6 linked regions of the Ovis aries genome follow. The main gene of each other region encodes a partner of the protein of the gene in region 6 in a complex. Links are inferred from orthologs where the notes say so. Each region holds a gene or a part of one and is shown on either strand. Other genes may lie near its edges. The genes, in order: GTF2H5, GTF2E2, POLR2B, GTF2F2, GTF2F1 and GTF2A1.

Evidence for each region.
Region 1: GTF2A1 (region 6) and GTF2H5 share a complex: the UniProt entries of both Homo sapiens proteins name them as parts of the TBP-based Pol II pre-initiation complex. The link is inferred for Ovis aries from reciprocal best matches to the Homo sapiens genes GTF2A1 and GTF2H5.
Region 2: GTF2A1 (region 6) and GTF2E2 share a complex: the UniProt entries of both Homo sapiens proteins name them as parts of the TBP-based Pol II pre-initiation complex. The link is inferred for Ovis aries from reciprocal best matches to the Homo sapiens genes GTF2A1 and GTF2E2.
Region 3: GTF2A1 (region 6) and POLR2B share a complex: the UniProt entries of both Homo sapiens proteins name them as parts of the TBP-based Pol II pre-initiation complex. The link is inferred for Ovis aries from reciprocal best matches to the Homo sapiens genes GTF2A1 and POLR2B.
Region 4: GTF2A1 (region 6) and GTF2F2 share a complex: the UniProt entries of both Homo sapiens proteins name them as parts of the TBP-based Pol II pre-initiation complex. The link is inferred for Ovis aries from reciprocal best matches to the Homo sapiens genes GTF2A1 and GTF2F2.
Region 5: GTF2A1 (region 6) and GTF2F1 share a complex: the UniProt entries of both Homo sapiens proteins name them as parts of the TBP-based Pol II pre-initiation complex. The link is inferred for Ovis aries from reciprocal best matches to the Homo sapiens genes GTF2A1 and GTF2F1.

The regions. Positions count from the first base shown.
Region 1 is NC_056061.1:82,453,008-82,457,779, forward strand, and holds the start of GTF2H5 (general transcription factor IIH subunit 5), read left to right. Parts: upstream 1-1,600; 5' UTR 1,601-1,609; coding exon 1,610-1,661; intron 1,662-2,502; exon of another isoform or gene 2,503-2,522; coding exon 2,523-2,586; intron 2,587-4,772. UniProt on the Homo sapiens protein: Component of the general transcription and DNA repair factor IIH (TFIIH) core complex, which is involved in general and transcription-coupled nucleotide excision repair (NER) of damaged DNA and, when complexed to CAK, in RNA transcription by RNA polymerase II.
Region 2 is NC_056079.1:25,926,146-25,931,129, reverse strand, and holds the start of GTF2E2 (transcription initiation factor IIE subunit beta), read left to right. Parts: upstream 1-1,688; 5' UTR 1,689-1,919; intron 1,920-4,984. UniProt on the Homo sapiens protein: Recruits TFIIH to the initiation complex and stimulates the RNA polymerase II C-terminal domain kinase and DNA-dependent ATPase activities of TFIIH. Both TFIIH and TFIIE are required for promoter clearance by RNA polymerase.
Region 3 is NC_056059.1:73,095,887-73,101,008, forward strand, and holds the start of POLR2B (DNA-directed RNA polymerase II subunit RPB2), read left to right. Parts: upstream 1-1,719; 5' UTR 1,720-1,809; coding exon 1,810-1,828; intron 1,829-2,944; coding exon of another isoform or gene 2,945-3,421; exon of another isoform or gene 3,422-3,525; intron 3,526-5,085; coding exon 5,086-5,122. Other genes in the region: nitric oxide-associated protein 1, read right to left, coding at 1-758. UniProt on the Homo sapiens protein: Catalytic core component of RNA polymerase II (Pol II), a DNA-dependent RNA polymerase which synthesizes mRNA precursors and many functional non-coding RNAs using the four ribonucleoside triphosphates as substrates.
Region 4 is NC_056063.1:15,656,784-15,661,837, forward strand, and holds the start of GTF2F2 (general transcription factor IIF subunit 2), read left to right. Parts: upstream 1-1,689; 5' UTR 1,690-1,822; coding exon 1,823-1,888; intron 1,889-5,054. UniProt on the Homo sapiens protein: TFIIF is a general transcription initiation factor that binds to RNA polymerase II and helps to recruit it to the initiation complex in collaboration with TFIIB.
Region 5 is NC_056058.1:15,923,107-15,928,176, reverse strand, and holds the start of GTF2F1 (general transcription factor IIF subunit 1), read right to left. Parts: upstream 3,057-5,070; 5' UTR 2,645-3,056; coding exon 2,633-2,644; intron 2,549-2,632; coding exon 2,502-2,548; intron 2,018-2,501; coding exon 1,945-2,017; intron 747-1,944; coding exon 553-746; intron 1-552. UniProt on the Homo sapiens protein: TFIIF is a general transcription initiation factor that binds to RNA polymerase II and helps to recruit it to the initiation complex in collaboration with TFIIB. It promotes transcription elongation.
Region 6 is NC_056060.1:90,667,060-90,671,392, reverse strand, and holds part of GTF2A1 (transcription initiation factor IIA subunit 1), read left to right. Parts: intron 1-905; coding exon 906-1,226; intron 1,227-4,270; coding exon 4,271-4,333. UniProt on the Homo sapiens protein: TFIIA is a component of the transcription machinery of RNA polymerase II and plays an important role in transcriptional activation. TFIIA in a complex with TBP mediates transcriptional activity.

The sequences.
Region 1 (4,772 bases), on a different chromosome or scaffold from region 6:
TGAAGGTCATTTTTGATGACCTCCTAACAAAAGCAGCCCTTCCAGTCCTTCTTTATCACATCCTATCAGTTAACCTTCTAGTTATCTGATTTTTAGTATCCTTTTCCCTGCCTATAATTAAGTTGCCAGCTCACCATTGTTAGTTCAATGTCTAGAATAGGGTCTGACATATACCGCACAAAATGTTTGTTGAATAAAAAAAAAATGGCGATTTTAAATCTAGATGATTTGGAAAAACACGGAAAGAAAAGCAGATTTTGAAGTGATGGTGAAGTGAGGTCTAATTCAGGTTGGGAGGCATTCTTTAGAGTTCTCACAGGTCATTAACGTGCAGGCATCTGACATCTGGCGCACAAGAATAGAGGTTTGACGGGATGGAACCGATGAGACAGTGAAAGAGGAAAATGCATTCAAGACGAAAAAAAACAATAAATTTAGGAACAACTATTGTTGGGGCAGATTAGAGAGAGGGAGGGAACGAGCATGCGCAACAGCATGGAAACCAACGGGAAAGATTTGAAGCAAAGAAAGAGGGAAATAAATGGAAGAGCTAGATTCCTAAATCACATGCACACACAATTGGAGAAGTACAATTTCACCTAAGGAACAGAAAGCAAGAAACCTCATTTCTCGACTGGTAAAAAAAACAATTAGAGCTCCAATACATTGTTGTTCAGTAGCTAAGTGGAGACCAACTCTTTGCAACCCTGTGGACTGCAGCATGCCAGGCTCTTTCTGTCTTCCCCTATCTCCCCGAGTTTGCTCAAGTCATATCCATTAGGTTGCGTGATGCTATCTAACCATCTCATCCTCTGTTTCCCTCCTCCTCCTGCCCCGTCTTTCCCAGCATCAAGATCTTTTCCAATGAGTGGACTCTTCGCATCAGGTGGCCAGAGTATTAGACTACAGATCCGAATCTGGAGAAGGAAGTAATTTTGGAACTCTCTGGGTCTTTCCTCCGGGCTCGGAGGACCCATCAGCATTCAATCTTATTCATCCTCTCGCGTCACAGCTATAGAAGCTGTGGTCTGAAAGGTTCCAATCTGAACGGCGGAGACTTGTTTCCTCCTCATTTTCACCATCCTTCCTGTGGCCGACGGTACCAGCAGGTGCTCTCTGGGCCTGGGACTGGAATTAAGAGGAGGGTGGCGACCGGGAAAGCAGAGCCGGGCTGCCGAGGCGGGGAAACAGGCCCTCACCTCACGCCCAGCGCCGGGTCAGCGGGTCAGCCAGGGGCCGCGCGCCCTCACTGGGGCGCCCCGACCGCGCCGAGTCGCCGCTCGCCCCACGGCCCGCAGTGCCCGGTTTCGCCTGCATCCGCCCCCCACCCACGAACCCAGCCCTACCTTCCTTACCTGCCGGCGCGCGGAGGCGGCCACAACCCCCTGGCCGTTCACGCAGGACCGAGTTCGCTGGGAGCCCGCCCCGGCCCACTGCTCCCAGTCCCCGCCCCTCTGCTCCCAGTCCCCGCCCCTCCACCGGCGGCGGGCGGCACGTGACCCCGCCCTCGTCTCGCCCCGCCCCCGCTATAAACCCCGCCCACAGCCCGCCTCCTCGCCGGGGCGCCCCACCCTCGAGGCCGTCGCTGTCGCGATGACGTAGAAGGCGCATGCGTACTCTGTTGTCGGTGCCTAGGCGCTGTGGGATCTGTGGGTGGAAAGGTACGTGGCGTCGGCCCTCGGAGCCGTAGGGGAGCCTGGCGTGCGTGGAAGTTCTGTGGGTTTCCAAGAAAAAAGGAGGGGAGGGGAAAGTCCTAGAAACCTGTCTTTCAGGTTGCGGGGATACAGGGTTCCGTCCTGTCTCTCTGACGAGGCCGGGCGGCTGCCCCGCGGCAGTTGAACTGTGCATTTCTTTTGCGGAGGGCGGGGGGGCGGGGGGGGGGCATTGCCCAGCGCCGAGGTGTGGAAGTTTAATAAGAGTTAATTTGGCGTGCGCTGAATGGGTTCCTTACCTTCGAGCGCACGTCACTGGGGTACATATTTTATTTGGCAATATAACACAAGATCTGGAGACTTGGATTGTTCTTTTTCTGCTGGTAGCTGCGACTTAAATCTTTTTGCTCCATCTCATCTGTAAAACGAGATGGTCGGAGCCCCCATATAATTTTTAAGGCCTCTTGCGAAGCTACCATTCTGTGACTCCTATCTCCCAGAATTTTACCTTTTATCGTATTTCTACGTGGGAAAAAGAAATATTTTAAATAATGTACTTGTTCTAAACCTGGATTGGCCACATTGCTGTGGAGTTAGGCCCCATTAGGCTTTCATTAGGAGTGACTGGGGTAGGATTTGTTTGCAAATAAGATTTGTGCATTGTTACTATCCCAAATAGACTCGTTTGAATTTTGTTAAAAGATCAGAATATCTGTATGTTTTCCTAATGTTAGCTCTATGTTTTTAATAGACTTCTATGTTTAGTCTTGGCGTTTAATTTTTTGCCTCTGTTCAGAAGTAAATCACCAAAGGATATTGAAGTTAATGCTTTTCTATTTTGTCACCTTAGGGTTTTGTTACCATTTTTAGGGTCATCAGCACCTTCTGACTGGGAAAAGATGGTCAACGTCTTGAAAGGAGTGCTTATAGAATGGTTAGTAGTTTTGATACTTATTAAGTTTTAAATCTGCACATTGAGTCTTTTTGTTTGTTTTGCACATTGAATCTTGATTTGCATGTGTACTGTTTCCAAAATCCATTTTGTTTTGTTCTTAAGATCTGAATGAATCAAGTCTTTCAGCTTTCTCAACTTCATTTTTCTTGTTTCTTAACTGGTGGGACAAATGTTGTTGCTAAGTTTCTTCCTAGTGCCAGTTTTCAGCATCTCTGTTGAATTGATGTCATTGGCGTTATTTCCAACAAGTTTTGGTCAGTGGCAGGCAGCATATATGTGAAATTAACCCTCTTTAGGGGAACAGTGCTTGTATTTTCAAGTCATCAGTGATTAACTAGAATTTTAGGGCCTGCCAAAGTCACACAAACTTTGGTCTTTAAAAAAGAGAAAAAAACAGGAGAGCCAGTTGAAGGTTTCTTAAACTAGGCACACATTCCAAAGGAGAAACTAAAAGCTGTGGGCAGAGTTAGCTCCCGAGAGCTAAGGTGGGGCTCAATTATCCCCAGTTTGAAAATCTGAGCTGCTGGCCCAGTCTTGCTCAGTCTCTGCTTTTTTTTTTTTGCCTCACCAAATAGTTCTGTTTCACCTGGAAATCCTGCCCTGATTGTCTGAAAATACTACTGTCTACATTTCTTTACCTCTAATGTGAGCTATCATATGGGTGATGATACTGTCTCTGTGGTGGCAATGTTCAGGGAGGAACAAGACCAAACCCTCGCATACTCTGACATTTCAAGCAGCACCATCCAGTAGAAATACAGCATGAGCCACATATTTAAAGTTTCTGGTAGCCACACTGAAAAGTAAAATGAAACAGGTGAAATTTATTTAACTCAGTATACCTGAAGTATTTCACCAGGTAAAAAATCCTCAAAGTTCAGATTAACACTTCAGAATCATAGTAAGTCTTTTTCCATACTATAGAGCTTCAAAATCCACTGTCTTCTGTACTCCTACAGCATAGTCACAGGCTAGCCATATTTCAGGTGCTCAGTAGTGATGTGTGACTAGTGGGCTGCTTTATGGATAGTGCAGATATAGCTTGAATGGAGAGACCACCAAACACAATTAAGAAAACAGCCAGTGAAGTGGGAGGGAACCTAAGGGAATGTTTCACTAAAGCAAGTAGGCTGTGTTAAGTGGTGGTAAGAGGTTGGATAAGATGAAGACACTGGAGGTCATTGATTTTTTTTATTTTTTTTAAATCAGAGCTCCAATAATTTTGTGGAAAGGTGGGATAGATACTTCAGAAAGGGGAAGGGAGGAAAGGAAGTGGAAACTGTCTTGACAGTGAACAAGTGAAGTCGCTTAGTCATGTCTGACTCTCTGCAACCCCATGGACTGCAGCACCCCAGGCTCTCCCCTCCATGGGATTTCCCAGGCGAGAATGCTGGAGTGGGTTGCCATTTCCTTCGCCAGGGGATCTTCCTGACCCAGGGATTGAAACCAGTTCTCCCGCATTGCAGGCAGATTTTTTACCATCTGTGCCACCTGGGAAGCAAAGGGATAGAGAAATGGGTTGGTCACAGAGGAAGGATTTGTTAAGATACTCTGCTGCTTGTTACTTTCACTATTTTAACGTGAGAGACTAGAACGTTTGGTGATGGAAGTAAACGCTAGAAATGAGAGAAACGTTCACTTGGGAAAGCCAAGGGACGGATCTAGATTCCAGAATTCCAAGCATACTGTGCTCTTGTCTTTTGGAAAACACTTCTGAGCTACTTTTTGTTTTTTATTTTTCTTATTACTTTGTCATAGCTAATAGAAACATTTTCCTGGTTGGTCTTTTAATGTTATTTTTAATTTATTTTTATTTTTTTTTAAATTTTTATTTTTACTTTATTTTACTTTACAATACTGGATTGGGTTTGTGTACACCCGTGGCGGATTCATGTCAGTATATGGTAATGTTATTTTTTTAACACAGAGGATCCACACACACATTGTCAGCTGTTTTTCCCTTTTATTTTTTCCAATTCTTCCAAATTTAATCTTCCTTCTGGATTTGATTGGTATTCACCTCTCTCCTAGGGTCTTCATATTTTCCTTTTGATTGATATTTTGTATTTCATTCACCTGGAATTTATTGAGAGAAAGGGCATATTAAATTAGCTGTCTTTTTTTTTTTTTTTTTTTGGTCAAATAGCTGAATAATTGTCCAATAA
Region 2 (4,984 bases), on a different chromosome or scaffold from region 6:
TACAATGTTAAGCAAGAGAGTCAGCCACCATCTCTTGCATTTAGCAGAGATTCAAAGGCAATCGTGGAGCAGGGAAGCTTTATAGAGGGGAAAAAAAGCGGCGGGGGGAGCGCTTCTAGTATGCGCTGGAAGGGGAACTTGGAGGAAGGAGGTCTGAAACAGGGAAGTTGGCAGCCTTTGAGTAAATCTTGACCATTCTGAGCTGATTGCTGCAGAGGTTGTGGCTTGGTTTCTCAAGTGGGCCAGAGTTTTATCAGCATATATGGTCTAGCCACTGTTCATTTATAGGAATTCTCTCATTCATTAAGAAGGAAGCTAGCAGAATGGTAGAATCGATTCCATGAGTAAATTGAGACTTACTGGTAAATTGGTACTTACATAATCACTGGGGAAGGGATGAAATAAAAATAAATTTATACAAAACTGGCTTATGTTTCTCAGACAACGTAATTTTAAGGTTTGGAATTTTTTTTTCAGTGTATGACTGCTCCTCCTCATTACACCTTATCAATTTTTCCTGGGTTATAAAACCTTTGAGTCCCAATAAATTGTTATCCAAATGAAGTTATGTTTCCCGAGGGTGTCAAATGAATATCAAGTGTGTTTATTACAAAATCCTATAGAATGAAATCAATTTTAAAAAGCCATACAGGGACTTCCCTGGTTGCCTTCCAATGAGGGGGCCGTGGGTTCCATCCCTGGTAGGGGAACTAAGATCCCACAGGCTGCTGGGCAACTAACCCCTTGCACCACAACTAGAGCAGGAGCCTGCCTGTCACAATTAGGCCTCAGCATAGCCAAAATAAATAAAATAAAAACGTAAAAAAATACCCACACAACCATCTTTTGGCTTTATTCCCAAGTTTTGATTAAAAATTTTATGTATTATCTCATTCAGTCTTCACAACAATCCAATGAAAGTAACCCATTGTGGTAGTTCAATTATTATTCCCATTTCCCAGATGTGAAAACCAAAACACAAGTAACTTGAGTAACCAGCATTAAGTAAAGGACAGCAATAAAATAGTAGAGCACTGGCCATGCGGTCGCTTCAGGCTGCAGGAGTGAGGCAAGGCCAGCGCCACAATTTGGCATGGTCCAATACATTGCAGGCTGTGGACAAGGGCAGTTGTCTTTTTCGCCGCTTTATTTTTATTTTTACCCCTTTACGCTGCTGCTGAATCCCAAATCCTTTTCTAAGAGAGTTTACAGGGATGGGGGTTCGGAGTTCAGAAACCGGACTTTGCTTCAGAATTTGCCATTGCTGGCGGTGCTGTCTCGAGCCAGTCATTTATTTAGTTTCACTGCGTCTCCTGTTTCAGTTGTGTAGGGAGAGAGCTGGAACAATGTTCTCCGAATTTTAGGTGATGGTGAATAGCATTTAAAGTCGCACCATTTTAGCTGCGGCTACTCAACTCCAGGAGTTGGTGATGGACAGGGAGGCCTGGCGTGCTGCAGTCCATGGGGTCGCGCAGAGTCGGATACGGCTGAGGGACTGAACTGAACTGACTCAACTCCTAATTACGTCCCGCCCCCAATCGTCCTTCCGTTGTCATGGAGATCGGGACGCCCAAGTTGGTAGATTTCCCTCCCGCGATACCTGGGCGGAGCACGGGATGACGCATGCGCGTTCTTGGCGGCCGAGGCGCCGCGGTGCCTACCGGGACTGAGCTCCCGGCCACCCGATCAGGAAGTGGCGGGCGGAGCCGGGGGAAGAGTCGCCGCCTCAGCCGCCGCTTCAGCAGCAGCCGCCAGTGCGAAGACCCCCGAGCTGGCGGGGCAGCGCTGGGCATGCGTGCCGGGCGGCGGAGGCGCTGACAACGAGCCCGAAGCGGCAGCCACGCGGGCGTGGGCGGCTGGTCCAGGCGGAGGCTCTGGGAGGCGGCGGCGGGGCGCGTGGGGCGGCCCTCCTGGCTCAGGTAGGAGCTGCGGACGCCGGGTTTGGGGCGCGGAGCCCCAGCCTGTTGTTCTTCGGGGCCTCCTCCCATTCCCGGGGGCACGCGGCCTCCCATCCCGCGGGAAGCTGGGGCTGCGGTTCCCTGCCCGAAACGCTTAACCCGGTTACAGCCTCTCGGGAGCATTGTTTCTGAGGCCGGAGGTTCAGTGAGCAAAGTTTTGGGTTGGAAAGAGGGGAAATTCGAATTGGAGCGCTGGTCGTGCCTTTCCTGAGCCCCCAAACTTACATTAGCTGTAGCCGCACGGACCAGGTGTGTGGAGTTTGAGGAACCGCGGCGCCCAGCCAAGTAAAGGCTGTGATTTAGGCGCTCCTTCACGGATTTTTTTTTTTTTTTCCAGCTTCCTCTTGGAAACCTAGTTTGGAATGATTCCTAACCTTGAGTTATAATAGTTTTCTGCAGAGTCTAAAGACATTTTCCAAAACAAGTCGCTGCGGTACTTTTTTCACTTCCACTTCTACATTGCTGTCTTTTCAGGGTTAAGCAGTCTCTTATTCTCAGCTTGCCGGCTATTCAAAGCACTATTGGCCCCTGCGAGGCTCAGGCAGGCAAATGAAGCAAGAGAGAAAGAGTTGAAAGGTTGAAAGAAATCAAATGATAAACTGGATAAATGATAAAGTCAAATGATAATATGGGAGGAATGTGGGCTTTGCAGTTAAAAGATTTTCACTGAACTTTTGGCTTCTCAGTGAGGGAACACGTGAACTCACTGAGTTGTGGCAGTGATGTGTGTTTTAATGTAAAACGGGGAAGTTGATGTGTCCTGTTTACTACACAGGACATATGAAACTCTACAGATGCGGAGTAGTCTCATGAGAAAAAGGTGGAAAAGTTAGAGCATGTGATGGTGAAAGACATTAAACCTTCTGTTCTAGGGACCATTGAACTTCACCCATACCACGCAGGTCGCTTTTGTTTTGGAGGCTTTTACCAGTTTTAGGTCTGGAATAAGGAGCACCTGGTTTAGGAATCAATCTCCTGGCGTCCAGGCTGTGTACTTTCAGCTGTGTGATCTTAACTCTGTGTGATAGGATACATACCTGATACCTCATAGAGTTGTGAGGATCAAATGCTGTTAACATCCAGGTCTTTGTAAGGCTTTTATTATGTTAATAATAAATTACATAATAAACAACATAGATTTTATCTATGTTAAAATCGTGATTATAAAAGCCTGGGTTAATAATCTGTCTTTACAAAGTGAAATCAGCAGATGTTTGTTGTTTTAGGCTTGTTCCCCCCCCCTTCCCCCACCACATCATTGGGGAATTCTCCTTTCTTGTTCTAATACACTTTCCCTCCCCCAAGACTGTCTTCTGCCTTCCTCACCTGAGTATAACACTGGGTTATTTCTTTTCAGATCCAAATAATAGTTCTGAAATAACACGTTGGTCTAGCTTTACTACTTAAAAAATCACTTTCACAAACATGTTCTCATTTTATTCTTACAGTTGGGCTAGATGTAGACAGCATTGGTAGTATCCTCATTTTACTTATGATGAAATTGGATTTAGAGAAGTCTAGTGGATTCCCTAGGTCATATTACTGTTAGGGGTCAGAATTTAGGGAGGTCTTAGATTCGAGGTCCAGGGTCAGTGATTCTTCTTTCCTGAACTAAAGTTTGACAAGTTTATTTCTTATCAGTGCTTTTATAAAATTTTATTGAAGTATAGTTAATTTACAGTGTTTCTAATTTCTGCTGTATAGCAGAGTGGCTTAGTTAAACATATACTCTTTGTCATATTCTTTTCCATTATGGTTTATCACAGGATATTGGACATAGTTCCCTGTATTGTACAGTAGGACCTGTTTATCCATTCTGTATAATAGTTTGCATTGGCTAATCCCAAGCTCCCAACCCTTCTCTTCTCTCCTCCCCATCTTGCTTGACAACCACAAGCTTGTTCTCTACAATTGTGAGTCTGTTTTTGTTTTGTAGATGTGTTCCTTTATGTCATGTTTTAGATTCCACAAGTAATGAAATCATATGCTATTTGTCTCTTTCAGACTTAGTGTGATAATCTCTAGGTCCATCCATATTGTGCATATAGACTATTTCATTCTTTTTCATGACTGAGTGATATTCAGTGCTTACATTTTTAACTTTTAGCGTGCTAAGTCACGTTTTATTTATTCATTGCTTTTTAAGCAAGTTGTTGAGTGCTTTCACATTCTCAAATGTAAGCTGCTTACATGCAGGCAAGGATTTATCTTCCAAAACTTTCCAAAGGCTGCAGTGCGGTACAGTGCCCCGCAAACAGAAGACATTTAATAAAGGCTTGTAAAACTTATTAACAGAGAGGCTAGGGCAATTTAAAGATGTTCTTCTGTTTGTTAGTCATTTACAAAATACTTATTGAGCTATCCCATGCCGGAAAGCTTCCAAAGTCTGAGAGTCTCTCTTCTCTCACAGAAGGGTGTGTGGGGTCTGGCTACTTGTCGCTCAAAAGCTAGTAAGCAGGCCAGGTTGGTGGAAAGGAAAGTTTGCTTATTTGAAATAAAGCAGGCTGGGAGAGGGCATATGTCTGTCCAAAGGCCGATTCACTGTGCCGCCCCTCCCTGCCTCCCTCTCCCCCGCCATTGGTGGTGGGGCGAGAGCTTTTATAGATAGAAGAAGGGGGCTGTTGCAGAAACAGCACAGTCAGCTCTGACACTTATCTTCACTTTGGTCATCAGTGGTCTGACCAGCATCACCTTGGCTGCTTTAGGTACAGTTAATCTTCAGTTCCAGGGTCCATTTGTTCAGATTTCTCTGAGGCCAGTTCTCAGAATTGTGGCAGCTTCTGTTGTGGGTACAATCTGGTCATCATGTAGTAACTTCTCCCACCTGGGGTTTCAGTATCTTTAAGACAAGCTCACAGGATATGGCTCAGAATATTATCTGTAGTCATTGGGAAGGAACTAAAGGTCCTTGATTATGCTTAATGACTGCATTACTATTATTTAGTCTCCTTTGATTGTTTCCTCTTGTTTCTTCATTTCTCACTTCTCTGAGTAAATTCGGAACCTTTCCACAGACAGAAGACAGA
Region 3 (5,122 bases), on a different chromosome or scaffold from region 6:
AGAGCTGGCTCGGGCCGCCGCAGCGCGGCGCTCACCAGCTCCAGGAACTGTCCCTGGCTCACCTGAAGGCGCAGGGCGCGCCGGTGATGAACCAGCAGCCAGCAGCGCTGGCATACAGTCCGCTCCAGCCCCCCTTCCTCCGCCAACGCGCTGTTAAACTTCTCGCTGGGTAGGTAGCCGGGAACGCCGGGGTCCTGGCAGTGCAGCTCCGCACCGCACCCGGAACAGTTCTGGCCGCTGGGCGGCACCGTCGGGTCCGGGTGCCCCACCACTTGGTGTACCCGCCGGCCGGCGCCTAACTTCTGCTGCCGCCTCACCTCTCGCTGCTGCTCTATCCGTCTCTTCTCCTCCTCCTGCCGCTGCTGCAGCTCCCGCAGCTGGTCCTGGAGGGTCGCTTCCGACTCTGAATCCAGGACGTACTCAGGAAACAGAAAACTCTCCTCTAGGTCAGCCCCTCCTGGGTTACCCCCAGTCGCCGTCGCGCCACGAGGAAGGCCACGTCCCAGGCCCGCTGGGTGTCGGGAGGAGTAATCGGTAGCGCATCTCCTCTCGAGGAGCGTCTCCCGGACGCCGTTACGCGCTACAGCGGGAGTGGGTCCCCTCAAGAAGCCGCAGAGAAGCCTGCGAGCTAGGCGCGCGGGCAGCATGAGAAATGCAGGTGTGGGCAAAGGGGCGGAGCCACCTTTTCGCTCGTGCACTGTGGCCCCAGATGAATGTAAAACAGCAGAGACAAGCCGGGAGTACCTGAGAGCCGTCATTCGTCAGCGTGAAGCTCCTCCTTCCACGTCTAATCTCGTGAGTTCTCGCGGTGAAGGCTCTGTGGCCCGGAAACCTACTTAAAGTGATACCCGGGACTTAGATTAGAAAGTGAAAGCGAAGTCTGTCGCTCAGTCGTGTCCGACTCTTTGCGACCCCGTGGCCTGTAGCCTACCAGGCTTTTCCGTCCATGGGATTCTCCAGGCAAGAATACTGGAGTGGGTTACCCTTTCCTTCTCCAGGGGATCTCGACCCAGGGATCGACCCCGGGTCTCCCGCATTGGAGGCAGACGCTTTAACCTTTGAGCCACCAGGGAAGCCCTAGTCGGTCGAATAGGCTAGTTAGTGAGGGTTTATCAACTTTCAGGCTTGTTTAACGCGCTGTCCCTGGCACCACCTGCTGTTAAAGGAATCACATTGTTAGGAGCTACGTATTTGTCTTTAGAACTGGAAAATTAAAAATCGAATGTCGCAGACTTACAGCCACAATTAAAACCTTTTATTAATACATCTTGGCTTTTTTTCGGGTATCATCATTCGTGCAACAGCATTAAAATCACATTTCTTAAACATTTAAAAAAATATGACGCATAATTGATGTACACAAATCCTTGTTAAAAGTTTCGGGTTTTAAAATCTTTGGAATTGAAAAAAATAGAGCACGGCGACAATTAAACCTTTTATTATTAAATCTTTCTTTCTTTTTTTGGTGCCATTATTTGTGCAACAACACTAGAAAACAAAGCTTCATTGGCAGGAGCCAACTCGGAGACCGTAAGCAACGGTCCTCCCACTCCAAGAACAGGAAACCTCAACTCACAAACCGCGCCTGTGCAATGCTAACCCTTAACCACGCTTTTTCCCCCCTTGCCCTTCGCGCAGGCGCAGACCTTAACTGGAGCCTTTGTGGGCGGGGCTTCGTGTGGGACGCAGAGTATTCTGGGAACGCCGGAGACGGAAATTACTTCGCCTCACTTTGCTGTGGTCGGTGGCAGCTACGCGTCTTTCTGTGTGTGATTTCTAGATTGACGGGTTCGGGAACCGTTTGCCAAGATGTACGACGCGGACGAGGGTAGGTGACCAGTCAGGGCACTCCTCGGCGACACATTTACGGGGGGGAAACGTGGGGAGTTGGACGAATGAAGGATTTACGGCCCCCTCCCCGGCCTCCCCCACCACGTCCCCAGTCGTTTCCCTACATCCCCAGGCCGGATCCGAGATTTTGAGAGGTGGAGGGTGCGGGGAACGTAGCCTTTATGATCTCGGTCAGGGGGACTCTGGTTCTCTTGGTTGAATCTGACACTCCCTTCCCGTATTGAAAGTAGCCTGAAGACCCATAGGACAGGTATAGTTGTTTTGATATCGTCTGAAGCAGAGCTCCTTTTCAAATTTACGTAAAGGCCAGAGCTAGTGGATTTGTTGAATAGTTTTTGAGCGTCGGCCTTTGCCAAACATGGTGCTGCTGCTGCTGCTGCTGCTAAATCGCTTCAGTCGTGTCCGACTGTGCGACCGCATAGACGGCAGCAGGTTCTGGTAATACCCCGCGGACAAAGAATATAGTTTCTCTCTCTTTCTGTGTGTGTGTGTGTGCCAAACTTGATCTAGTTTGGCATTCCTTCATGTTGCTATATGCAGTTCTCGATGGTATGCATTTTACTGAACAGGGACGCTATGTCTTTTTTTCTTTTTACATGTAGAAATCTTAGTCATGAGTAGTGTATTTTCATTGTATATTTTTAATGCTCCCTCTTCTATTCTCCACAACTCCTTTTTCAGAGTTCATTTTCTTCTAGCTCCCAACCTCCTGGTTGCCCCTCACTCTTCCGTTCCTTCACTTCATGGAGAAAATAGAAGCAGAAACTTAAGGTCTGCTGTTTAAACTTGTGTCCCATTTTTATCTTGCATCTAGAAATTTATTAGTATCATTGTATTCTTTTTCTTCTATTTGCGAAAAAAATTCCCTAAAAAATCTTAGCTTAATTTTTTAGTAGGTGATATATTCTTGTTTCTCACAAGCTAGAAGACATAAAAAATGTTAAAAGGGGTAAATGATCAATAAATATAAAACTAACTTCATTATTACGGCTCCTTTTCCAGCTTTATTAGCTTCTCCTGTGTGCCTGTGATAATAACATCTAGTGTGTCATCAAAACTAGAAATCTCTAAGCCGATTTAGATACCTTAATTTTTTTTACCCCGCCGGGACAAGGAGGAACAGGGCCTGACCCTACAGGTCCTTGATGCCTCATCCCTTAGTTTCAACACCAGGCTGAAGTGGTTTGCCATATGTTTCGCCAGTGGCATCTTCTTCATCCTTGGAACTGGATTGCTGTGTCTCCCTGAAGGCATAAAGCTTTTTGCAGCGTTTTATACCTTTGGAAATACTGCTGCCTTAGCCATTACATGCTTTTTAATGGGACACGTGAAACAACTGAAGAAAATGTTTGAAACAATGAGATTGCTTGCAACAGTTATGCTTTTGTGTTTCGTGCTCACCCTGTGCGCTGCTCTTTGGACCCTGTGCACTGCTCTTTGGTGGCATGAGAAGGGACTGGCTGTATTATTCTGCAGATTGCAGTTCCTTTCAATGACCTGGTATAGTCTGTCATACATTCCATATGCAAGGGATGCAGTAATTAAATGCTGTTCTTCTCTCCTAAGCTGAAAACTCTTTGAAAAGAAGGAGACTGTTTGAAAAGACCTTTTGAAAGTCGATGTTCTGTTTTTGGTGAAGTGGCCTTTTCCTGTTACAGTGATCACTCCAGAACAACTGCACTGACCATCTAAGACCATTTTGTATACTGATAAAGTTACATACCCATTAAACTGTTAAGTGCTTGTGACAGTAAATTCATTATGTGCCATTAGTATGCTCTTTCAGAGACAAGGATATTTTAATCATTGCCAATTGCAAATGATTTTTAGCCAATTTTTAAATCTTTTCTAAACAGCATTTGAAATGTAAATATTTAAGGGTAAACCTTCACTGCAAGATATAATCAACTTTTTTGGTGGCTTTTACATGTTTACATTAAAAAATATCTTTTTAAAGTAAAAATATTTTATTTAAAAAATAAAAATATCTTTTTAAAATAAAAACTTTAAATGTGAAAGTTTTACTTTAAGCATTGCTTTATTGTATGTAACAAAAATAATGTAGAAATCTTCATAATTTCATAATAAACCCACACTTGGAAAAAAATTAAAAAAAAGACGAGACTAATATTAGGACCAGTGCACACTGATTTTTCAAATGCCCCATTGCACACATGACTATTGCTGTATGACTACCCCAAAATTTGGGTGCTTAGAAATTATTTAACATGTTCATGAATTAAGTGGGCTAGGAATTTGGGCAGAGCATAATAGGAATGGCTTGACTGTTGACTGATGCCAGTGGTTGGCAGACACAAAGGCTGAATATTGACAGCTGGGGATTGTGATCTGGAGTGTTTACTCACACTCTGCGTTCAGTGCATCTGGCATCTAGCCTAGGAAAATTCAAGGACTAGGATTGATGAATGGAACATCTCTGAGTGGCTTCTCTGTTTAGGCTTTCTCACCTAAGTATACCAGCCTTAAAGTAATAGGGCTTCTTAGTCACAGGTCCAAATGTAAGTATTTCAGCAAACAAGGTGGAATTGGGTTGCTTTTCCTGATCTAAAGCTTCTAAAATTGTGTAACATTGGTTCAACTGTATTCTCTTAGTTATGGGAGATTCAAAAACCCATCTAGAATCAAGGGGAAGAAGCATAGACCAACCTCCCCCACCCTTATATCTTGATGGTAGGAGTGTTAAAATCACTTTATGTAAAATGGAAGATACATGTGGCCATCTTTGGAAAATATAGGCTGTCATCCCTGTCCATGTATGAAATCTTGCTGTAATAGACACTGCACCTTAATGTATTGCCCAGCTATTGGAATCTTTTGCTGACTCCTGCCTCTTAGCCTAATCTCTGACTTTGGATCAGAGGACTGTGAGCTAGCTGTTAGTTATTATAATATATTTAGCTGTTAATAAGAGTTACATGAGCTTTCTGGAGAGGATGGAACAGTTATAAATTCCTATGACTATGACTTGTACTGAACCTTTCTCATGAGACCTCTTTGTGAATTGGGAGAATATCTATGTGACATAGACTCGTGTGTACGTACATACATACATTATTTCATTACAATTCAAGTAATGATTGAGATTTTACAGAAACGGGGTAAAGCAGTTGTTTTTTATTTAGTATAAATGTGTTTCTGCTACCTCACATGATAGGAGTGAGATGTGAACTAGTAGTATTTATTGCAAGTGAGAATGATTTTTTTTTTTTGTAGATATGCAATATGATGAAGATGATGATGAAATCACCCC
Region 4 (5,054 bases), on a different chromosome or scaffold from region 6:
AGATTCGTTTCATATCCACTGCACCACCAGGGAAGTCCAATTTATTCCTTCTATTTGACCAAAGCTTAAAGCAGCTCTCTTTATCCACTTGTCCTTTTTATATTTTTAAGGCCATTTCTTGAGCCTTAAAGAACACACAAGACTGTGATCTTCCTCTTCAACATGTTCCTGATCTCCTGTTTTTCCTGTTAGGTTTCCCCAGCTGATCTCAGAGCCCTGACAGCTTTTCCTAGCCCTAGGCTGAATAGACATGGAATTTCTTCAATTCTGTGTATGGTTCTGATGCAGGATTCAATACGTCACTTGCCATTCTTACAATATCTTACTGTTTGTTTCTTTTCATGCAAATGTTCATTCAGCCAAAGCCTACTGAAATCTGATGTGGTGTCAGCTTTGTGCCAGATGCTTTGATTAAACAACAAGAAAACCCACCATTTCTGCCTAGGAAGAGCGCATAGTCTAGAAAGCAAAGGCAGTATGTAAACGAGTGCATTATAGCTCATCGTGCTAAGTAACGCACACTGTGACGGGAAGAAAAAATTATCTTCCTCTGGGGGAGTTGATAGAAGGTCTCATAGGAAGAGACATTTCCATTAATCTTGAAACCTAAGTAGGTGTCTGCCAATCAGAAGGCAGTACGGGAAGAATAGGGCATCTGAGTAAAGGGAATCCAGTGTGCAGAGGCTCTGAATAATTGAGGAACATTCTGATACGTTCCGGGAGGTCTGACGGGTTAGATGGGCTTAGATGCGTGGTGCATTGAGTACACCACACTTTGATGAGGTCAAACTGTGAGGGCCTATGTGGAGAGGACTGAATTTTATTCTAGAGGCAAGAAGAGAGAGGGGAGACTCTTTAAGCAGGGGAGTTGAACAATCAGAGTTTTCTGTTACATGTCTATTGTCATTGACGTCATGAAACGGCTCCAAACTTGCGGACACAGCCGGGAAAGGAGAGGGCGCGACAGACTGCCAGCGTACCACTGACATGTATACACCACCATGTGTAAAAAGCGATTAATAGCTCGTGGGTAGTTGCTGTAGCGCACAGGGAGCTCAGGTCGGGGTTCTCTGACAACCTAGAGGGGTGGGATAGAGGTGGGGTTGGAGGGGGGCTCAAGACGGAGGGGACTTATGTACACTTACAGCTGATTCATGTTGTCGTAGAGCAGAAACTAACATAACATTGTAAAGCGCTTATACTCCAATTAAAAATAAATTAAAAACAATAGCAAACAAAAAACAAAGGGCTCTGGGTTTTGGAGTCTTAAAGGGGTGCGCCCTACTCGTTTAACTGAAGGTGCTCAGGGTAGCCTTTCAATAAAGACCACTCTGCTAATTCATTTTATTCATTTCTCCTACCTGTCCTCCAAATGCTGTCTTTCTCTCCTTGGCCTGGATTGGACATACACTGACAGCCTTTGTCTCTTTAAACCCCGTTTTTCTGTTTTGACACTTTCTTCTGTTACTCTGACCTGGTCTTTATATGTACTGCTGATGTTTGCGCCCATCCCAACCTCGTTTTCAATTACTCAGACACAGTCCCTGGAAGTAGCCACGCCCACTCAAGAAGGTGCACGCCGATGAAGTTTGTCCTCAGTAGCGCGCCGTACTGACGGCCGCAGTGCGCAGGCGCAGTTCCCCGCTGCCGGCCGTGTGTGTTCTTCTTTCCCAGGGCTCCCGGCATCCCGGAAGTTGGACCGCGGGCTCTTCACAGTCAACCTCCGGCCAGGGTTCGCCGTGTGCTTCGCTCCCTCGTCCCGCAGTCACCCGCTCCCGGGGCCGCTGCTCTAAGTCCGCAGGTCTCCGCCGGCGACAGACCCATGGCCGAGCGCGGAGAACTCGACCTGACTGGCGCCAAACAGAACACCGGAGTGTGGCTGGTCAAGGTAAGGTTTGCGTGGCTCTCGCTTTTAAAGTAGTTTAAGTGACTTGAGGGGAGAAGGAACTGGCAACCCACTCCAGTACTCTTGCCTGGGAAATTCCATGGACGGAGGAGCCTGGTGGGCTACAGTCCATGGGGTCTCAAAGGGTCGGATACGACTGAGCGACTTCACTTTCTTTCTATAGTTCCTTTGGGAGAAGGAAGTGGCAACCCACTGCGGTGTTCTTGCCTGGAGAACCCCATGGACAGAGGGGCCTGGTGGGCTGCAGTCTATGGGGTTATAAAGAGTCGGACACGACTGAGCAACTAACATACACGCGCGCGCACACACACGCACACACACACACGTAACTTGAGACCGTCCCACTTTGTGCACCTTTTAAAACTCATTAGGGCTCTCTCGTTTAGAACTTCGCTTACCTTGAGAGGCAGGGTTGGTTGGTAGGCTTGTTTGCAGACGAGGACATTAGTTCAGGGACACCCAGTGTGTTTTAGCCAACTAAGAGTCTGAACGTGCCTGGAATGGATCTCCTTATCCCACGACCTGGTTTTTCTGGGCTCCTGTCTTGATGGCCCCCCAGTTTGAGCATTTTATCCCAGGCTGAAGAATTTCTTCATCTCCACTTGCTGAAACTGATTTCAGTCATCAATCTCTATAAGAAAGTTGAGCGTTTGCTTTCTGGGTAGTTTTCTGAGCCAGAAAGTAGAACTGTTCTCTGAGTACCCTGGTGGCTCAGATGGTAAAGCATCTGCCTGCAATTCAGGAGACCCAGGTTCGATCCCTGGGTGGGGAAGATCCCCTGGAGAAGGGAATGGCAGCCCACTTCAGTATCCTTGCCTGGAAAATCCCTTTTGAAGGAGCCTGATAAGTTACAGTCCATGGGGTCCCAAAGAGTTGGACAGGACTAAGTGACTTCACTTTCACTCGTAAGGTGTTCTTTTAGGTTGATGGGTCTTATGGAGTTCCCAGGAGAGGTGAGAGTGCTCTGAACTCAGGGAAGGAGAGACTGTGGACTGGAGTGTTCTTTTAGAGTTCGATTGTGTCTCAGGTGAAACTGTCAGTAATTTTTTTTTTTTTTGGTAAAGGCAGCATTTTGATTAACCCTTAGTAAGTACTTACTGAGCTTCCCTTGTGGCTCAGCTGGTAAGGAATCCACTTGCAATGTGGGAGACCTAGGTTCGATCCCTGGGTTGGGAAGATCCCCTGGAGGAGGGAAAGGCTACCCACTCCGGTATTCTGGCCTAGAGAATTCCATGGACTGTATAGTCCATGGGGTCGCAAAGAGTCAGACACTGAGCAACCTTCACTTCTTCACTTAGTGAGTACACTATTTATCCCTTACTTTTTCAAATTGGGGACTGTTGTTTCTTAGGAAGTTTTCATAAGACATGTGTATATTCAAAATGTGATTATGATAGTCTTGAAAACTCAAGTAAAACATAGAGACCTTTATTTGTTAGATTTTTGGAAAGCTTTTATCACACGTCTGAGTGTTTATCAGTTAAATCTGAGAGGCCCTTCTAGTCTTCCTCTCTGATGTAGCTCCCTTATGATTCAGTTCGGTCGCTCAGTTGTGTCTGACTCTGCGACCCCATGAACTGCAGCACACCAGGCTTCTTTGTCCATCACCGATTCCCGGAGCTTACTCAAACTCATGTTCATTGAGTCGGTGATGCCATCCAACCATCTCATCTTCTGTAGTCCCCTGCTCCTGCCCTTATGATTATTCACTAGCATGTTGAGCCTGTATTAACATTCTTCAAAGCACATGCACAGTCATATTTCGCGAGAGTAGGCGTCTTGCCTGTCACCCAGAACTGTGTTTGGTGTAAGGTAAATAGCTCAGATAATGTGATGTATGCATGCATGAATGAATGACTGAATGAACTCTTATTCTTCAACCCTAGCCTTAATCTCTGGTGCTGCTTTGACTTATCACAGTGATATCAGTGTGATTTAAAATGATGGAGTAACCAAGTATCTCTCTCCTCCTGCATGCTAGATGGAGAGAGATCATTAGGGAGGAGATCTCCTTTGCAGATGGAAAGAGCTTGAAAAGGTGGCGAGAGCTTGAGGTGATGTGTTTCTGCTTGGAGCGCAGTAGATGCTCAATAAATGTTTGCCTTACAGAGGTTTGGATGGGGGGCCATAGTATCTCCGTAGCATACCATGGAGAGTGGTTCTGAAATGCAGGAGTGAGAATGCACAGTAATGTGGTGTGGGCTGGAAAACAAAGAGGACATCATGCCTGGAGTAGCGGATTGGGACCGTATACTGACATCATCACGTTGTGAAGTGGGAATGTTTTAACACTGCTGCTGCTGCTGCTAAGTCACTTCAGTCATGTCCGACTCTTCGTGACCCCATAGACGGCAGCCCACCAGGCTCCCCCGTCCCAGGGATTCTCCAGACAAGAACACTGGAGTGGGTTGCCATTTCCTTCTCTAATGCATGAAAGTGAAAAGTGAAAGTGAAGTCGCTCAGTCATGTCCGACTGTTTGAGACCCCATGGACTGCAGCCCACCAGGCTCCCCCGTCCATGGGATTTTTCAGGCAAGAGTACTGGAGTGGGGTGCCATTGCCTTCTCCAGTTTTAACTCTAGTCTACAGGAAATGAGGAGACTCTTGGAGGGTTTTGAGTAAGGCAGGGATACAAATGATTCTTTAAGCGGGGTGGGGCAGGGGGGAAGCTTGAAGAGAAGATAACCAGAGTCAAAATTAGGAAATTATCACAGGATCCTAGACATTTGATAGTGAAGTCTCAGGAGTTAGGGAAACTTTTTCAGCAAAAGTTGTCAGGATGTGGTGACTGACTAAATGAGGATGTAAGAGAAAGTTACAAATCTAAACTAAAGAAATTTTAGTGTTCTCTCTTATATGGCCATTTGAATATATTTTATTGCTTTAAAAAGAGGTCTTACTAATGATAGTTCAAATTAGAATTTTTCTGTTCAAATTAGAATTTGAATAGAACTGCATACAATTTTAAATCTTTTCGGTAGACGTTCATATTTCTTATTATAAATCATGCCTTGAGCTCTGATCTTTGAGGATCATTTGTTGCAAAATATGTGAGTTCCTACAGTGTCGCAAGTTTATGGGCCATTTCTGTTCCTAATTAATTTGTTCATTATTAATTTCCTCACTAGACAAGGGAAAGGAAAATTAC
Region 5 (5,070 bases), on a different chromosome or scaffold from region 6:
AGAGCACAGTGCTCTAGTGTCAGACCCCTCTGGATTCCCCTCCGGAATCTTCCTTGAACCACTGCCAGCCCAGCTCCCTCCGGGCCTCCATCCTTCCCCTTTTCTGCCCCACCATGTGCAGGCAGTCTTACAGAGTGCCCCTTCCCCACCTACAGCCTTCAGGCTGCCCTGGGCCCCAGCCTACCCACAGTCCCGCTGTGCCCTGGCACTCTCAGCCCTCTCAGTCCACCCACTCTGCCACTGTCGTGCGCTGTGACAGTCCCTGGGGCTCGATGTTTCACGCCTTCGTGCTCGCTGTTCAACCAGAGTGCCCTTCATTTCCCTTAATCTCTGTCTCCCCCATGGTTCTCAACCCTCAGCTCTGGGCAGTCCTTGGCTGGGCGCAGGAGGACGGCAGGCCGGGATTCCTGCATCCCTAGCACACACTCGAGCAACCCCTTGGCTCATCTTCCCCAAGAAAACCCCTTCATGGGTGGATGAGCTGTCACCCCCAGCTGCAGGACCTAGAAGTTCGGCCAAGGGTACCGGGGAGTGGCGGGAAGGGGCACTTACTTTCGGCCTGATTTACCGTTGACCCGCAGCAGCCAGGGCTGGTCCTCCGGCCGGAACTCCTTGAGGACAATGCCGTACTTCTTCCTCCGCGCCTCCTCCCGGAGCTTGCGGTTGAACTCGCTGCCGGCGCCCGACTCCGGCATCTCCTCCTCTTGGTAAATCTTCTTGTTGCTCAGGTCTCGTTCCAGCCGGGCCTGGGAGACGGAAGGCGAGACTTCTCATCAGGCAGCCTGCTCCCCATCCAACAACACCCCTTCCTCCCCGCAGGCTGAGCGGTGGACCCTCTGAGCCAACTTCCCGCTTGGCGAAAAGAGGCTCTGTGAATGTGGGCGAAGGGATCTGTCTAAAGCCCGCTGCGATGTCTGTTTTTGCAGCTTTTTGAAAGTTTGAAGTTATTTCCAAATGAAAAATTAAAAAAGAAAAAAAGAAAAAAAGACACCCCAGAGTCCAATAACTTCTCGTAACCTGTTTGCTGCAAACCCCATCACAGGCTCACCTGGTCCAGAGCCTTCACCTCCGCCCTGTTCTCCCTTCACTTGCCCTCGACCCCACAGTGGACAAATCTCTTTACAGACTGTTTGTAACCCTTTAATAGCCTCTGCTATGGATGAATGTTTGCATGCCTCCAAAATGCATTCTTTTTGGCTGTGATCTCGGACTTCTGGAATCTTAGTTCCCCCACCAGGGATGGAACCTAGGCCCCCAGCAGTGAATGGGCTAGAGTCCTAGCTGGAGTCCTAACCGCTGTATCTACAGGGAATTCTCCCCAAATGCATATAACCTAATTTCCGGTGTGATGGTATTTGGGGGCGGGGCCTCTGATAGATGATGATTAGGTTGTGAGGCTGCAGCCTATTAGGAGTGAGATAAGTGCCCTCTTTAACAAAGGATTCCAGAGTGCTGTGTACCCAGGTGAGAGTACAGTGCAAAGGCACCAGCTATGAACCAGGACACCAGATCTGCTGGCGCCCTGATCTTGGACTTCCAGCCTCCAGAACTGTGGGAAATAAATGTCTGTTGTTTACAAACCACCCAGTCTCTGGAATTCTGCTAGAGCAGCCTGCAACTAAAACAGTTTCTAAAGACCGCTCTGGAGTCTCCAACAATAGGGGCTCTGAGTCACCTCTAGGAGGCAGCCCCCTCCTCTCTTGCCCAGATAGATCTCGACCCAGAATGCCCATCAGTGGGCACAAATTTCAGAAGAAAGCCTCCTGCAAGGCCACACATATCTTGTCCTCAGGGGTGCCCAGAGGCTCAGCCTGGGCCTTAGTTATCATTTATCTGCACGTGGGGAGAGGGGAGGATCCTAAGCCTTAGTTACTATCACAACCAAGCAACTATTACATCAAATCCAGGGTCAGGTTTTCTCACAGCCTCAGAACTCGGACTTACCTGATTCCAAGTAGTGAGGTTGACTTTATCGGCTGCATTGAAAGCCATGATATTGTATTTTTTGGTGGTATTTCTGGTATGGGCAAAAAGAGGCAGTGCTCAGTTAATCATTCATTAATTCAGCAAACCCTCCCAGGCTCAGTTCTTTGTGCTGGGCAACGCTGGGGACCCATGAAAAAAACCCCAGAGATCAGTTAAGGACAAATATTTCTGGGAACTCAAGATGGGATAATTGGGAACTCAGCCCTGGGCAGCGGGGTGGACAGGCAGGGACTGCCTCCTGAAGGAGGAAAATACTGTAACGGAATTTCGCAGGATCAAAAAGAATCCACCCAGTAGAGTCACTGTTGCCATTCCTGGCTGAGGGAATCCTAGGCAGGCAGGCTGCGTGTTACTGTATATTAATGTACTTATTCATTCACTCTGTTAAAAAAACAGTGATGCCCCAGAGGCCTCGGCTCAACCCCAGCCCTGGAAGAAGAATCAGACACTCCTGGAACCTCGAGATTTTAATCCTTTTCTGGAGGGAAAGGGGGTTGGTAGGGTCAGGGACTTACTTGGGAACTCGGACGACATACTCAGTGACATTCTGGCTGCTGGGGCCCTGAGGGGAGAGAAAGCAGGACAGTGAGTGAGAGGCTACAGAGGCCACCGGGACCGCAGCCGAACCGCCTGGCCGCACACTTACGAGGGCCGCCATGGGCGATGGGCGATTGACCCGGGTCTGATCAGAACCTTTCTTTACGCCTCCCTCCGGGTGCGCGTCCCTCGGAGGCCGCCCTCGAGGTGTCCGGTCTCCGGCCCGGGATACAACCGATCCTGGGGAAAGCTATCCGGAGGCGGCACTGGGTCGGCGATTGGCTTGAGACCGCCTGTGCCAAGTCTGCGCCTGCGCAGCCGCCTAAACCGGAATCGAAATCCTCCCGCAGGCCTAGGGGAAGCAACCTACTCCCAACTGAAGGTAGCGCCTTCTGTATCTAGCGCTCTGGCGGCCCGCAGTTTGTATAGCACGATAATCCCATCAGGCCGATAACCTCATCACGCGGATAACCCAAACAGGTGACGTGAAGACGCCCCCAGTGACATTACATCTCAGGACCGCGGGGTATCTTGGGAAGGAAGGGAGGAAACCCGCCACCCTCGCGGCCTGTCGGGCCATTTGCGCATGCGCTACTTTACTGCGGAAGTGAGTCCGGGGAGGTCGCGTTACCACAGCAACCGAGGCCTCCTTGGCAGCCGACTGCTGCGGCTCTACCTGAGCCTCTTTGGGGTTCATTTCTCCCCACAGCCCCCGGGGGTAGCCCTATCATCTCGCCAAATAATCGGGCCAGGGGCCCTTGTGACGTTGAACCGAACTAGGAGAGGTCAGGGCCTGTGTAGGGGATGGAGTGCGCTCACCCCACGGGCCTCAGGCGGGTTGGGTTTGTGCAAGTCCAAACTGCCCCAAATAGGCAGGCCCCTGAGGCCCCAGAAGAAGGGAAACATCGCGGGGGTGGCTGGTTTACTCGGGAGAAGGGAAGGAGGTTATGGAGGGCGGGAGAATGCAGGTAACCCCTCCTCAAGTCCAGGTGTGCACACGCCCTTCCTCCCGGCCCCCTACCTTATTGTAACACAACTTCGCATGCTCAGGGTCAGGTATTCAGTGATCCATGTTAGCACCTGCTGGGCTTCCCTTGTGGCTCAGCTGGTAAGGAATCCACCTGCAATGCGGGAGACCTGGGTTTGATCCTTGGGTTGGAAAGGTCCCCTGGAGAAGTGAAAGGCTACCCACTCCAGTATTCTGGCCTGGAGAATTCCATGGGTCACAAAGAGTCGGACACGCCTGACTGACTGACTGACTGACTTTCACTTTTAGCACCTGCTGCGCTGGATTCTGGGAAGTCCGTGGGGAATGTAGGAAGCCAGCACTATAAACTACAGGTCTCCATAGATGTTTCTGATAGTTATGGACATTTATCTACTCCTCACTTGCTACGATTATGTCAGAAACTATGCCAAGTACTAGAAATACAGGGACAAGGAAGACAAACAGATTCTGTGTTCTTGTAGTACATAGTCTGACTGGGGAGACAAACAAGAACAAGTAAACGGGCAGACTCATTACTGATAGTGACCATTACTGGAGGAAATGGAATTCTTTTTGTGGGGTGGTGGGGAATTAGGGTTTTGAGACTGGGAACAATGGGGTGGGAGGCTCTTTAGACAGAGATTAGCTGAAGGGTGAGCTGCAACCTGAAGGGACTGCAGTATGGACTTCCAGCAGGGGTGGGGGTCGGGGAGGAGCAACAGGGAGGTGATGAGTACAAGGGTCTGAAAGGAGGCCACTGGGCTGAAACAGTAAAGAAAGGGGAGGGTGGTATGGGATGAGACTGGAGGGGTGGACAAGTCCCTGTCCGTCTCAGAGCCTCAGTTTCCTCAACTGTAAAAGGGGTGATTCTTCGAGGAGAGGCTGCACACAAAGGGCCTGACCTGCTTGGGTTCACACCTCATCCACATGACCTATAGCAGTATTAATGGGTGCCGTGCCTGGATATATCACTGGGTGTGGACACACACCCCCAGATACCACCCTAGGGCAGAAATAGATCTTCCAGCAGACATGTGTCCAGCGTAACCCATTGTAACTGTGGACACAATCCCCTCAGCACCAACTGACCCCTACAGGCACCAACCCCTCTCCCCTGTCCCTCTTCCTCAGGCACGCAGACATCCTCAAGTCCCCCTGATCGTCTTTGTGATGGGCGGTCCAGGCTGCGGAAAAGGGACACAGTGCAAATACATGGCAACCAAGTATGGCTTCTGCCACATGGGGCTGGGCCAGCTGCTGCAGCAGGAGGCCCAACGGGGCACCTGGTGGGGCCAGAAGATCCATGACTTCATGCTGCAGGGGATCCTGGTGCCAACAGTGAGAGCTCCCAGGCACGGCAGCAGAGGGATGAGGGGGCCCATTGGGAGGGGCTTCCCAGGAGGATGTAGGAGCTGAGGGGCCTCTTGAGGGCAGGGGACACTGGCTGCTGCTTTGTCAACTGAGCCTCTGTGTCCTCAACTGTAAAATGGGAGAGGAGCTGGACCCTCAGCAGAAGGCTGGGGTGTGGGGTGAATGACTTCGTTCCTATAAAGGGCTTG
Region 6 (4,333 bases):
TTTTGCTTTCCTTGAACCTAGAGACAAGGAGTTGCCATTTAGTACTTATAAATTGGATATGCTCTGCTTTTTACTTAGTAACATATTTATAAATATGTCGATATAACAGATATAATTAATGTTTATTAATATGTTCTTTTTGAGCTGCGATTTACTTCAGAACCCTAGAATGCAGAAGCTGGAAGGAACTTTAGAAGTCATCTGACCTGGTGGTTCGCAACTTTGGTTATATGATTAGAATTATCTGGGAAGCTTTAAATAATATGAATAGATATCATCTCATATCAGTTAAATCAAAATATTAGAAGTAGAGACTTAGGTGTCAATATTTTTAAGTTACAGGTTGTTATAATTTGTAGCAGGGTTGAGAACCATTGACCTTAAACAATGAAGCGAGGTTAAATGACTTGCCTCTGCTACATCTTTATCTGTGATCTTAGAACTGGAACCCAAGTCTTCAGTTTCCAGATCAGTGTTCTTCATAGAGTGAAAGTGTAGCATAGTACTAAGAGCAGAACCAGAAAGCCTAGGTTCATGTTTTGTCTCCTAGTGACTTGTGAGCTTTGCAGGTTACTAAATCTCCATACCTCAAGCAAATTAATAACATATAACTTTTGGCCTGGAATCTGAAATATAGATAATAGCAAGTACTTGATAAATGTAGCAATTGTAATTTTTAAAAATCTGTTTTTCTTTAGAAATTTGAATGGTAAAATGAAAATTTAGTGGATCCGTACACTCACTAAACATTCCTCTTGTGCTTTGGTAGTTTTTACCTTTATGTGAGATACGGTCATCTGAGGGTGATTCTTTCCCATTGGGGCCTGTTTCTGTGTATCAAATGATAAATCTGAGCGATTTGATCCTCAAACTAGTTCTAATGTGTAGTTTTTCTTTTGTCTTAGGTCTTGGCCCCTCTTCCTGGAGGGATTTCACCACAAACAGGTGTCATCATCCAGCCTCAGCAAATCTTATTTACAGGAAATAAGACTCAAGTTATACCTACAACAGTGGCAGCACCTACACCAGCACAAGCGCAGATAACTGCCACTGGCCAGCAGCAGCCACAGGCCCAGCCTGCTCAACAGCAAGCTCCGTTGGTGTTGCAAGTTGATGGAACTGGGGATACGTCATCTGAAGAAGATGAAGATGAAGAAGAAGACTATGATGATGATGAGGAGGAAGACAAAGAGAAAGATGGAGCTGAAGATGGGCAAGTAGAAGAGGTAAGTTTTAGTAAAAGACTTGAAATGAGGACCTGCTCAGTTGTTTCTTCCTTCACTTGGTGCCAAATTGATGAATTCTGTGTTTTTAGAGGCTGTTAGGGTACTATACAATGTAAGATTTTAAATAATTTAAAAATCACTATACAGTGTAATATTTTAAATAATGTTAAACGTTTAACATTAACATAACATAAGTTAATAATGTTAAACTTTAATAAGATTTTTAGATTGTTCTGGATATATTTATAAAATATTTCTGTAGCTGGTAACAAAAAGCAAACATACACCAAATTAGGTTTTACTTATAAATGTGATGACAGTGCAAGTAATTCTGATTCTCTGACTTAATACATTCATCATGATGTGGCTTAAGGGTAAGACATTGGTAGAACCAGATAGATGTGGTTCATCTTTTCCTTCAGTAATTTAAAACAGCATTTGGGAAGAGAAGACACTTCAGAGTTACAATGTTCGATATTCCATACGAGTTCCTTAGGTGACCTCATCTGCTCTTATTGTCTGTCTGCAGTTTCACACACCATTTTTTCTTACTCATCTTTTGTTGTGTATTTCTAGAAGTATGTAAATATATCTTTGTTTTCCCCAGTGTTCCAGCTTAGGTACTTATAGTCAAGATGGTGTTGGTCTTAACCACGGTTTTCACTGTTACTGCCTTTTGCAACAACCTAAAATGTGATTTCTGGTTTATCTTCTTTCTTCTTTTAAATTATCTAAGTAATGTTTTTTAAAGAATACTATTTTATTAAATATTGAATAGATAAAACAAAAAGTATTTTATGGTGTAAACAACCCAGTGTCTGCATCTAGTTAAAAAAAAAAAAAATCCCCTTACCAAACATAAAGTCCCCTGAGTGCCCCTCCCTAATCCTCATCGTCTTCCTTCTACCATCCAAGTATCCTTGCTCATAATTTGTGTGTTCGTCACTACCTTGCCTTTATATTTTACCATAAGTATTTATATTCCTAAGGAGCATATTGTTAAGTTTTTCATGCCTGTTTAGAAGTGGAATAATTGTGTATTCTTCTGCAAGTTGATTTTTTTCCCAAGATGGTGTTCTTGAGGTCCATCTAAGTCGTTGCATATACCTATAATTATTTTTACTGTTAAATGTTACAAGTTTATCCATTTTTGTGATACATTGGGCATTAGGGTTGTTTTCACTTGTTAACTGTACAACTATAAAATATCTGGAATATGTCTTCTAGGGACACATTCAAGTGCTATACCTAAAGAGTGAATTGCTGAATCATAAGGCATGCATATCTTCAAGTTACAATAAAATGCCACAGTGTTGTACTAATTACACTTCTGGCATTCAGTATATAATGATGCATGGCTCTGTGTATGTCTTCACCAATACTTGACATTGTCAGGCTTCGTAATTTTTTTTTGGCCAATTTGGTAGGCAGAAAATTTTTCATTTTGATTTTAATTTTTATTTCCTTGATTAATGATGAGCAGCAAAAGGCTTCTGCTACACTACTTTTTTTTCAATTTTCTTTTTTGTTATAAACATCATAGCAAATTTTAAAAAGCTCTTTGAAAAGAGAAACATATAGTTGTTGATTTCCTGAGTGTACTTAACGCCTTACCTAATCCTTCCCTGTACACAGTGGGATGATCAAAAGAAATAGGATTTTCAGGTGGGGGTGCCGGCGGGCATGGTCATCTTTATTTACTGGGTAGCCTCTTGACTCTTTCATGTGTTCTTTGTACGCAATCAAATCAAATGTGAAAAAATAGCAGTTTTTCTTGCCTACTTGGCTAAGTTCTATAATATTGGATAGAAATGGTGATGGTGGTGATAATTGCACATACTAAGTGCAAATTGAACACCTTCGAATGGTTAAAAATGGTGAAATTTACCTCAGTAAACTTTTTTACATTTATGTTGGTGATAACTATTTATTACAGAATATATACATATACATGTGTGTAAATAGGTACAGGCCTAGAGACTTAAAATCTTTTCTTTTTTTTTAATTGGACTATAGTTGCTTTACAATGTTTTGTTTCTCCTATACAACAAAGTGAATCAGCTATATATATACACATATCACCTCTTTTTTTTCATTTCCTTCCCATTTAGGTTACCATAGATCATTGAGTCCTGTGTTATATAGTAGGTTGTCATTAGTTATCTGTATTATACATAAGAGTGTATATATGCCAATCCCAGTCTGTCCCACCCCTTTGGATCCATACACTTGTTTTCTGTGTCTGTGTCTCTGTTTCTGCTTCACAGGTAAGGTCATCTGTACCATTTCATATACAGTATTTGTTTTGATTATTTTTCTTTCCATTTTTATTTTGCCCTAGCTTCTTTTTCTTCATTAATTAGAAATTAGAGTTGTATATTTTATTGTCTGTCACAACTGAGGTCAAGGTTAACTTGACTGGTCATTTTATGCTCTAGCTAGATCTTGGCATTTAATTCTCTTCATTACTGACATCAAGATTCCCCCCGCCCCCTTCTTTTAAAATGTGGTTGCCTTAGTTATGCTTTAAGCCTCCACCAGTAGACATACTAATTTTTATTCCTAGTCTTTAATGTCAAGACTAGCTAGGCTGCCAACCTTTTTTATATCCTTGTTTTCCTCTTCCAACTCCACCAGTGTTTTCTTTTTACACAGCTGCTTCTGGTGGTACACAATACCATTATCTCATTAAATCTTCATATTTTCCTAGGTCCACTTCTAGACAAATAGTTACTGGAAAGAGTTATCTTCTTGTGCTATCCTGAAAGAATAAAGGAAGTAAAGTAACATCTTTTCAGTCATATAAATTATATAGCTTAATTATTTTAATTACTATATTTAATTTCTTGCTGGAATTTCAGTGACACTGGCAGAATCTTAACGCAGCCAGTTAACAACATGTTCATGGTATATGTGGATCTGTCTGGCCCTTGGTTCTCAAAGAACTTCAAGGTCACTGTGTTTGTTTTCAGTGAATATTAGAAGGACCTTTTTTTAGTAATACATGAAATATAAATAAGTGAACTCTCTTTTTTCATTTTTAGGAACCCCTCAATAGTGAAGATGATGTGAGTGATGAGGAAGGTCAGGAACTCTTTGATACAGAA